3 separate regions of the Mus musculus genome follow, and all the other regions are reported to be linked to region 1. The links are microRNA targets in miRTarBase. Many come from high-throughput screens and were not tested one by one. Region 1 holds a microRNA gene; each other region holds the end of a gene's coding sequence.

Region 1 (3,233 bases):
AAAGATGAATGGTGTAGGGATATGAGTTTATTATTCTCTAGAACTTACAATTAAATCAAATCAAGGTATAAATATCTTGTTTTACAAATAATGATGGGATATCTGAAGGCAACGATTTTAATAATGAAGTTTCTGCAATTTAACATGAAGTTTCACATCAATGGCATTCCATCTATGTTGGATTCCTTCATGAGAAATAGATGTAAGTACTTCTTCTCTAGATGAAAAAAATGCTCACCATATTCCTCATGAACTTATTGTAGCATCTTGAAGGTAAAAATATAATTCTTGGATTTATATTTAACTGGGCAGTTGGATTATATTTAGTGTTTTCTCAGTTTAGCTCATCTTGCCTCAGCGACTATATGAAATTCAGTCGTGAAGATACTTGATGAATGATTCTTCAATGAGTTCATGTTTCCTCTGGGAACAGCCTATGATCTCAGGAACAAGAATCTGCACCTAGACGCCAGTTGCTAGGCATAAAGTTTCATGTGGCCTATTACTTCAAGAGACAAGAATGGTAGAATATGCCAGTGGTACAGTGTAAGCTACCTGGCATTTAGTTTCTCATGCCTCTAACCTCAGTATGGTTCTAACGAGTAAAAAACACCAAATGTCTGTCTTCATGTGATCCCTGAAACCCGAGGCAGGGATTACCTTCATGCACACGTACATAATTTAGACCATACTTACCACTTGGGAATGGGCACCTAACTGATCAGGGGACTTATCCTTAAAAAAATACTAGCTCTCCCTTAGCAGCCTGAACTAGATATGGGAATTATGGACCCTTCCTCAATCAGTCTTTTGCAAATCTTGTACGAGCAACCATTAACTGTTGAAAGTGTGTTGGTGAAACAGCCTTATCATGTACAAAAGACAGTAGTTTACACTTTGACAAGTTGTGATTCTTTATAAAATAGCCTTTTGTCTTATTTAAAAAACAAAAACAAAAAACTTTTGCTGGGCAGTGCATGCCTTTAATCCCAGCATTTGGGGGCTGGTTGGGGGGTGGGCAGAGGCAGGCATATTTCTGAGTTTGAGGCTAGCCTGGCCTACAGAGTGAGTTCCAGTATAGCCCATGCTACACAGAGAAACCCTATCGAGAGAGACAGAGACAAAGAGAAAACAACTTTTCATCAGAACTGTGAGTTGCACTAATCAGTGAGTATAAGCTAAGCACATATAATGTAAAAAACCAAAATGAAATCAATCTCATCTCTCTGGTTTTGACAAAAATTCAGTGGAACAAGTGTTAAAGGAAATGCTTAGAGGAAAAAATATGGAGTGGTTGAATCTTAGGGTCTTCGGAATATCTTTGTAACTTACAGGTATTGTAATACATTGTGCTTGTAAGATTTTAAGTGACTATAACAAATACCTATCTCCTTCAAGTCAAGAAGACTATATTCCTCACTTGATCTGTCTTTGGGATAGTGATGATTTCATTTCTGTAGGTAATGTTGAAATCGTTTTTTCCATATGTAAACCTTTTGTATCTAATGACCTAGGTAGTCTTTGTGTTTTCAGTTATTCATATCATGAGAATATAAAGTATAAACTATATTATATCAATGTAATGTAATAAAAAGTCATGTGAATGGTTTATAAATCACTTGCTTCAGAAAGCTAAATGGAGGTAAAGAAGATTATAATTGCTCTTATCTTAATTGTGAAGAAAGAAATTTATTATATATGTATACTTGATAGTCCAAAAAATTGTAATATCTTTTAATTCTTTCAGACTTAATTTCCTCACTCAATATTCTGTGTGCAATGCATTACTGAGAATGGGTAGCAGTCACTTTGTACTATGAGTAACTGCAACATCTCTCAGTATTGTAAGGTTCAACAAATACAAGGGTGGTAGCCACATGGACATAGTCTTCACACAGTGGATGAGTTTCTTGATTTCAAGATACATTGCAGTCACTTTAAAACAGACATCCCCATGATAGATTTGTTGTTGCTTTCATAATTTTAATTCTAGTGTTATATGAATATGAAACATCTTAAGATATATTAATATGGAAAATAATAACATAATAATGAGTTTGAAGTCTTGGAAGTAGGGAATGCTATGAGAAGAATGTGTAGTGAAGAACAGTAATTAGTTACTCTCTGAGTCTCAGGAAATAAGATTAGAATGTGTTTTTAATTTAATTTATGTTATAGTGATAAAGTATCCTGACAAAAAAGAAATTTAGCAGGGAAAGGATTTATCTCAGCTCATGATTCTAGGTTCTAGTTAACCTTTCTGGAGAATTCAAGGCAAGAACTCAAGGACTTTGTCATATCACATCCACAGTCAAGAACAAAGAATAAATACATCCTTGCTTGCTTAATAGTCAGATAGTTTCTATCCCTTTTTGAAAAATTCCTTTATTTACTTTTATTTTATGAATATTTATGTTCCTGCATATATTTATATGTATCACGGGCATGATGGTGGCTTCAGAAGCTAGAAGAAATGTTGAATCTCTTAAATCTTAAGTTGTAGGCAGTAGCAAACTACCTAGTATAGATGCTAGGTACCAAAACTGTGTCTAATACATGAACAGGAAGTTTTCTAACTTTCTCTCCTATCTAACCTATCTCTTTCCAGCCCTAATCCAGAGCTGAGCCTACGAAATAGTGCCATCTGTGTTCAGGGTAGATCTTCCTCATGCAATTAACAACTGAAATAATCACCTACAGACTTTGCTATAGTCCAACCTAATGTAGAAATCATCTCACTGAGGCTCTTTTTAATATATATATATATATATATATATATATATATATATATATATATATATATATATATATATAATGTATGGGAGTATACTGTAGTTTTACAGATGGTTGTAAACCTTCATATCGTTGTTGAGAATTGAATTTTAGGACCTCTGCTCACTCTAGTCAACTCCACTTGCTCAATCCCTGCTTGCTGTGGCCCAAAGATTTATTATTATACATAAGTACACTCTAGCTGTCTTCTGACACACCAGAAGAAGGTGTCAGATCTCCTTACAGGTGGTTGTGAGCCACCATGTGGTTGCTGGGATTTGAACTCAGGATCTACGGAAGAGCAGTCAGTGTTCTTACCTGCTGAGCCATCTCACCAGCCCATTGAGGCTCTTTCTTACATTGTATAATTCTAGGTTGTGTCAAGTTGACAGTTAAAACCTACCAGAATAGACTGCAACTCCTCTTTATTCTTGATATTGAAATAATATGGATGATGTTAT
Region 2 (3,233 bases), not on the chromosome of region 1:
TGTCTGGAAGGTCTCTACAAATCCCAACAGTGCTTTTTAAATTTGGTATTTAAATAGGGAACTGAGTACTTTTTAAATTTAATATCAGAATCTCTAAGTTCCCTACTGTTAAACCACCAAGCCAACACACCAGGAAAGATATGAGATCTGAGGGAGGGTCTCTGGGAGCCAGCCGGACTGTATCCCCACCCCTCACCCCTGCTAGCTTTTCGCGAACTTCTGGGGAAAAAATTCATTTTATGCAAGTTGGCCCGCAATCCCAACCTGAGCGCATCCCCTTCACCACCTGCTTTCACTCTGCTTGCAGTTCCCAGAATTACCTCAAGGGACGCGCTGTTCCTTAACCAGCGGCTAAAAGCAGAACCCAGGCAATTCTCAGAGCTACTGCAAGGTGGCGCCCACACCCAGAGACTTCAAGGGAATCTTAGACTAAGAGCAGCGAATACCAGGCAAGCCCCTCCTGCATGGGGGTCCCAAGGGTAAAGCCGTACTAAGACCCTGGGGCAAGGGAAATCTGTTAGTTTCTTCATCTACCAAATGGAGGTTGAGGGCTGGGACTGGGTTTTGTCGCCACACAGCATAAGCCACGTGTGGCAGAGCACACCTTTGCTCACAGGAAACAAAATTCACAAGTATAAAGTCGTTTTTTTGGCTTCGTAGTATATTTAAAGTCAGTCTGGGTACAAGAAGCGTTGTCTCAGTGTGGGGGCTGCGGGGTGTGTGCTCATGCTGAACCTGGAGTGCACAGGAGCAGCCTCGACGTGCAGAACCATCTGAGTCCAGGAACCTGTCCACGGCACAGAGCAACCTTGTCATTGGTGTCAAGGACCTCGCATGAATATGAACCAGATGAACATGGCCGAAGTTGACATACAAGTTTAATGAACAGTTTAAACCTATGCTGTCTGTGGGGGGTATGGGGGGAAGCGGGTAGGAGCAGGGAGCAGGCATGAGGGGGCACTATTTGCAGGATGGGCGAGTCAGGTGATGCTGTTCTGAATCTGGTTGGGGAAGGCTGATGAACAGTCTAAAAGAGCTTCTCACCGTAGGGAATCGGTAGATGTTTGTCATAATTAGTGAGAAAGCAAAGCAAAGCAAACAGGGGTGGGGGTGAGATGGTAGGGCAAAGGATATTCGGGGGATAAAGGTGTTTGCTGGCAAGAATGACAGCCTGAGTTGGATCCTTAGGATCCCTGTGCTGGAAGGAAAAAACCGACTGAGGAAAGCTGTCCTTTGACCTCCGCCTGCACTCCTGCTGTGCCCAATGGGTACCCGTACATATACACAGGCACAAAATACATAAGTAGATAAAGGCTTTTAAGACACAGTCTCAAGCTGGGCATGGTGGCGCATGCCTTTAATCCCAGCACTCGGGAGGCAGAGGCAGGCGGATTTCTGAGTTCGAGGCCAGCCTGGTCTACAGAGTGAGTTCCAGGACAGCCAGGGCTACACAGAGAAACCCTGTCTCGAAAAACAAAAACAAAAACAAAAAACAAAAAGACACAGTCTCACTATGTAGCCCAGGCTGGCCTGAAATGATGTTGCTGTAAAGTAAAGGCATATCCAGGACCACCCCCACCCCCACCCCACCCTGCGCAGCCCAAATTAGCACTCAGAAGTTCCAGGCCAGCCTGGTTTACCTAGTGAGTTCCAGGCCATCTGAGGCTGCATAGTGAGTGTCTCTCTCAAAATAAACAATGAATAAATAAACAATTTTAAACATTTTAAAAGATTTATTTAGCTTGTTTGTATGAGAGTTTTGCCTGCATTCAATCTTTGTACCATGTGCATGCCTGGTGCCCTCAGAGGTCAGATGAGGGCATCAGATAACCTTGGAACTGAAGTTGCCAGAATCACCACTTGGGTGCTGGGAATGGAACACAGGTCCCCTGCAAGGGTAACAAGTGTTCTTAACTGCTGAGCCATCTCTCCAACCCCAATAAATAAACACTTTTAAAGAGGATAGTTACAACTTTCTGGGGGAAAATTAAAAAAAAAAATCAATAGATGAATGAATAGATTCTGAAAGATCCCAGTAAGGACAACTCCTTGAATTGTTTTTATTGTGGTTGTAATTTGTATGAAGAACCTGTCCACACTCTGGAAGTTTGGCAGCTGATATCTGACAGTCTCCAGAGCCAAATTTCCAGACCTAGGCTTACCTTTGTCCACAGCTCTGTTTCCTCTGTAGCCAGCCACTACTCCTGCCAGCCCTTAGCACACTCTTATCTAGACATCACCTGGTTCTGAGCATTCTTGGAGCCCCGCTCTCCTTTATCCCTTCATCTTTTAGCCATTCCCCTTGAACTTTGGTAGTCACAGGGTACCTGTGGAGGTCTGAATCCAGGAGAGTCCCTCCTTTGTTTAGAATTCTCTATGGCTCCCACTTCACTCAGAGCCAAACCTAAGGACTTCCTCAGAACCAACAAGACTTCCCCACAACCTGCCCTTTCATCTCCTGCTCCTCAATTTCTGCTGCAGCCATATGGAATGGCTCTCCTTCAGGGCTTCCCAGCTTAGGTTCCACTACCTGGATACCTTCTCATCACTTTCTTCTTTCCCTTATTGTCCATCTCAGATCCCGAGTGCATTTTTGTCTGTTCTTGTTATGGGGTGATCAATCACTTTCCCTTCTTTCTTGTATGTCCCCCTCCGTCGCTGGCTATTTCCTACAGATGATGCGCTTATTTGGCGAGTCAGTCTGTTCTTGCAAAGGGTTGGGAAGCGTCAGTCTGTAGCAGTAGGCACCAGGCTCCGGTTGGCGGTTGCTACTCCAGGACTGCCGGTGGAGCAGCTGGTGTCCACCCCGTCCTGCTGGGGAGACAAGTGTTCTGATGGGCTAGAGCTGCGATCCAAGGTTGGTGGCAGGCAGCGTCGCAGGCCACCACCGGAAGGCCCGGCAGCACTGGGGGATCGCTGCAAGCTGTTGGAGGAGTCTTGGTTGCAGGGTCCGCGGCCACAGCAGAGCAGCCGCAGGAGCGCGTGGCGCAGATCTCGGTTGGTGAAGGTGTAGATGATGGGATTCAGCAGCGAGTTAGCCATGGCTAGACCCAGGAAGGGATCGGCCTGCAGGAGCACGGGACACGCGCGGGCTGGGCACGCGACATCCAGTAATAGCAAGAGAAACAGCGGTCCCCAGCAGGCCACGAAGGCCAGGAGCACCACGCTAAGGGTACGAAGCAGGGCCAGCGACCGCGGCGTGTGCCGGGATCGCGAGGACGAGGTGGCCCTGC
Region 3 (3,233 bases), not on the chromosome of region 1:
TGTACAGAGGAGATGTGGTCCCTAAGGATGTAAATGAAGCAATTGCAGCCATGAAATCTAGGACCTCTGTTCAGTTTGTTGATTGGTGTCCAACTGGTTTCAAGGTGGGCATCAATTATCAGCCACCTGCAGTGGTACCAGGAGGGGATCTAGCTAGGGTTCAGCGTGCTGTGTGCATGTTGAGCAACACCACAGCAATTGTGGAAGCCTGGGCCCGCCTGGACCACAAATTTGACCTCATGTATGCCAAGAAGGCATTCCTGCACTGGTACATCACAGAAGGCATGGAGCTTGGGGAGTTTGTAGAGGCCAGGGAAGATCTGGCTGCTCTGGAAAAAGATTATGAAGAAGTGGGTCTGAGTTTCTGATAAGAAGATGACCAGGCAAATGAATGCTGAGTTAAAATCTCATGTTCTGTTTTTTATATATCTAATGAATTAGAGGAAAGCAAAAACCAAATCAGCAAGATGCAAAATTCAACATTAAATTCAATGTATTAATATCAACAATAAAGTAATGTTTTCTTGTGTACAGTAGAATTCACCTTTGCTAACTGAGAGCCTTCTGGGGATTAGGATCATTTGAACTACTGGGTCTCCTCTAGGTAGAGTAATTTTATGTTAGTTCTTATTTCCTAGGACAAGACTGGCTTTATTCTTTCCCCTTCCCTAAAACAACGCATTAAGGGAGTTTGGAACCGTGATGTTTCTGCTTCCTCTTTTTTTGTCCTGAGGCAGAAAATACACAGATTATGAATCCCATTTCTCCATTATTTATGCACTTACTATCAATTAAACCATAAATGCTTTTAGAATATTTCTTTTTCTTTTTCCAAGTGTGGGCTTTAAGTCCCCAGTTTGCTTTTCAAACAAAATAAGGAAGAAAGCCAACAAACAAGAATACTGCTGGTCACTTTTCAGAATTTGGATATGAGTATCCTGCAGGTAAGAAAGTACTGATTCCTTCTCTAGGTGGCCTATTCTGGAGGAAGATGTATTTGTTTTACGTGTGTGTGTGTGTGTGTGTGTGTGTGTGTGTGTGTGTGTGTGTGTGCATGTTTGTATGTCTGCAGGAGTATGGCATGTGGCCATGTCAAGTGGCAGCCAGAAGCTTCTAACAAGTGATTCTCTCAATCTCTTTCCACTTTGTTTGCTGAGGCAGAGTCTCTCCATGAACTGAGGTAGCTAGTCCAGGCAAGTTCTTGCTCTCAGGTCCAGGGATTAGAGGTGGGCAGCCATGCCTTCTTTGAATTTATGTGGATACTAGAGGTCTGAACTCTGTTTTTTTTTTACACTTGTTCACCAAGCACTTTATCCCCTGGACCATTTCTCCAACCTCTGAAGGTTATTGGCAGTTACTTGATTATTGCTATGAGAATGGATTAGACAAAAAACAAAACAAAACAACAGCAACAAAACCAAAAACTTTAACAAAGGTTGTGAGCCACCATGTGGTTCCTGGAAATTGAACTAAGGACCTCTGGAAGAGCAGTTAGTGCCATCTCTCCAGCCTGACTCCCTATTTTTTTAGGCATAAGGTATAAACTTCTGAAAATGATGAGCAGAGTCTTTCCCAACTCATACCAACTACAATCCACTCCTATCTGTCATAATGGTATCATAAAATCCAACCAAGATAGTCTCTCTCGGTTTCCAGAATATACTTGGCCTATGGCCAGTTATGTAATTCCGAGGTCACTTGTTCCCAGAAACCTTGGAACTCTTCTGTCTTGAGTCCTTTTTGAATCACCTGAGCAATGTGGAGCCTCCATTTCTTCCCACCCAGGATTTAGGGATAGCTGAGCTATGGAATTTCTCTGTATTAAATGTGGTATTAAGTAGGAATTGATGATTTTTCCCTGTGCATTTTATTAGGTCCTTTTATTTTTAAAGCTAAAATTTATTACATTCTTTAATGTACCTTTGTTAGCTCTTTTTCTTTAGCCACTAGAGGGCATTAGTAAAGTACACTCTCTCACTCATGCACAAAACATTTGTAGATTTTATTTTATATTAAAAATTAACTTCATAATATTCAAGTGAAAACTGTTTTTTAAACTTTAAAATAAACCTTGTGAATCCCACTCTTTGTAAGTCTGGTTTTTCCTTTATTCATGTGTCTATGTGAGGTGTGTGTGCTTATTTGCATATGTGCACTCATATGTGGGGAAGCACGTGTATGCACAAATGTATGTGCCCATGTGTGCACAAGTGTGTGGAGGGCAGATGCTGAACTGGGTGTGTGCCTTCCTTGATCACTCTCTTCATTGTTTGCTCAGATAAGTTCTCCAAGATGAGCTCAGGGCTTGCTAGTGTAGTACCCAGCTTGCTCTGTGATCTCCATTTTTCTTTTTCTGAATGCTGAGATTACAGGAGCTGCTACATCTGTCCAGCATTTCAGTGAGGCAAACCTATACACTTGTTTGTACAGGATCCACACACATTGTTGGTACTGATTTTATACTTCAGTAAATGGTGTTAAATATTTGAGATTGACTATGAATTTAATATACTCCATTTCTTTTTAAGGACTGTAGTGGTATGACAAACTCTTTCACAAATCCTTAGTTATACTTTTTAAGTTTAAACTATAAGTACACTAATTATCCTTAAACTGTCTGAAGAACGTTCATAAACTAGAAAAATCATTACTCAACATTACAATCTTTAACTTATTTGTGAAATGTTCATAATTCAATTATGAGTTAAAGGGCTTAATGTAATTCTTCTAAGTCAGATGCTCTTAGATGTTGTGAACACTGTAGTTTAAAGTCAAATGTGTGTAACCTTTTTATACTACAAGAAGCTTGAGATGTCTTCATTCAATTTGTTAACCACTTATATACCATATGCTTATCCTTAGTGTAGCTCCTAGGGACATAACACTAAACAACATAACCCTTGTTCTCACAGAGAGCCGACTGTAGTGAAGGTGGAGAGGGAAAGAAATGAGTGGAATATAAAAGTCTGTTAGAGGCCAGCAAGATGGCTCGACTGTCAGAGTGCTTTCTGCCAAGCTGTACGACTTGAGTTCGATCCTCGGGAACTCCACAGGGGAAGAAGAGAAGAGAGTGGCTCTTGTAAGGAAGAAGAGAAGAGAGTGGCTCTTGCAAGTTGTCATTTGCTGTCCACATTTGTGCTCTGTCATCACATGCTTCTGTGTTTGCATGCACACTATCAATAAAATGTAATTTAAATGTGAGTTACGTGGCATAATAAATGTATTCCACCCAA

What was found. Region 1 holds the annotated microRNA mmu-miR-883b-3p (UAACUGCAACAUCUCUCAGUAU, at 1,822-1,843, shown strand). A microRNA usually pairs through its seed, bases 2 to 8, with sites in the 3' UTR of a target mRNA and lowers its output. Matches are read on the target gene's strand: a 7mer-m8 pairs with bases 2 to 8, a 7mer-A1 pairs with bases 2 to 7 and ends in A, and an 8mer does both.
Region 2: miRTarBase lists S1pr5 as a target of mmu-miR-883b-3p. Seed matches in the 3' UTR shown: 7mer-A1 at 1,912-1,918.
Region 3: miRTarBase lists Tubal3 as a target of mmu-miR-883b-3p. Seed matches in the 3' UTR shown: 7mer-A1 at 1,351-1,357 and 7mer-A1 at 1,488-1,494.

What each region holds. Positions count from the first base shown.
Region 1 is chrX:66,788,510-66,791,742 of GRCm38, reverse strand. It overlaps Mir883b (microRNA 883b), which reads left to right and starts at 1,776; the gene lies at 1,776-1,853.
Region 2 is chr9:21,241,199-21,244,431 of GRCm38, forward strand. It overlaps S1pr5 (sphingosine-1-phosphate receptor 5), which reads right to left. Exons shown (of 3, transcript NM_053190.2): 3 at 1,719-3,233. The coding sequence ends at 2,728. Among named protein-coding and RNA genes, the nearest start is that of Keap1, 3.5 kb to the left of the region's middle.
Region 3 is chr13:3,933,195-3,936,427 of GRCm38, forward strand. It overlaps Tubal3 (tubulin, alpha-like 3), which reads left to right. Exons shown (of 4, transcript NM_001033879.3): 4 at 1-2,083. The coding sequence ends at 368. Among named protein-coding and RNA genes, the nearest start is that of Tubal3, 10 kb to the left of the region's middle.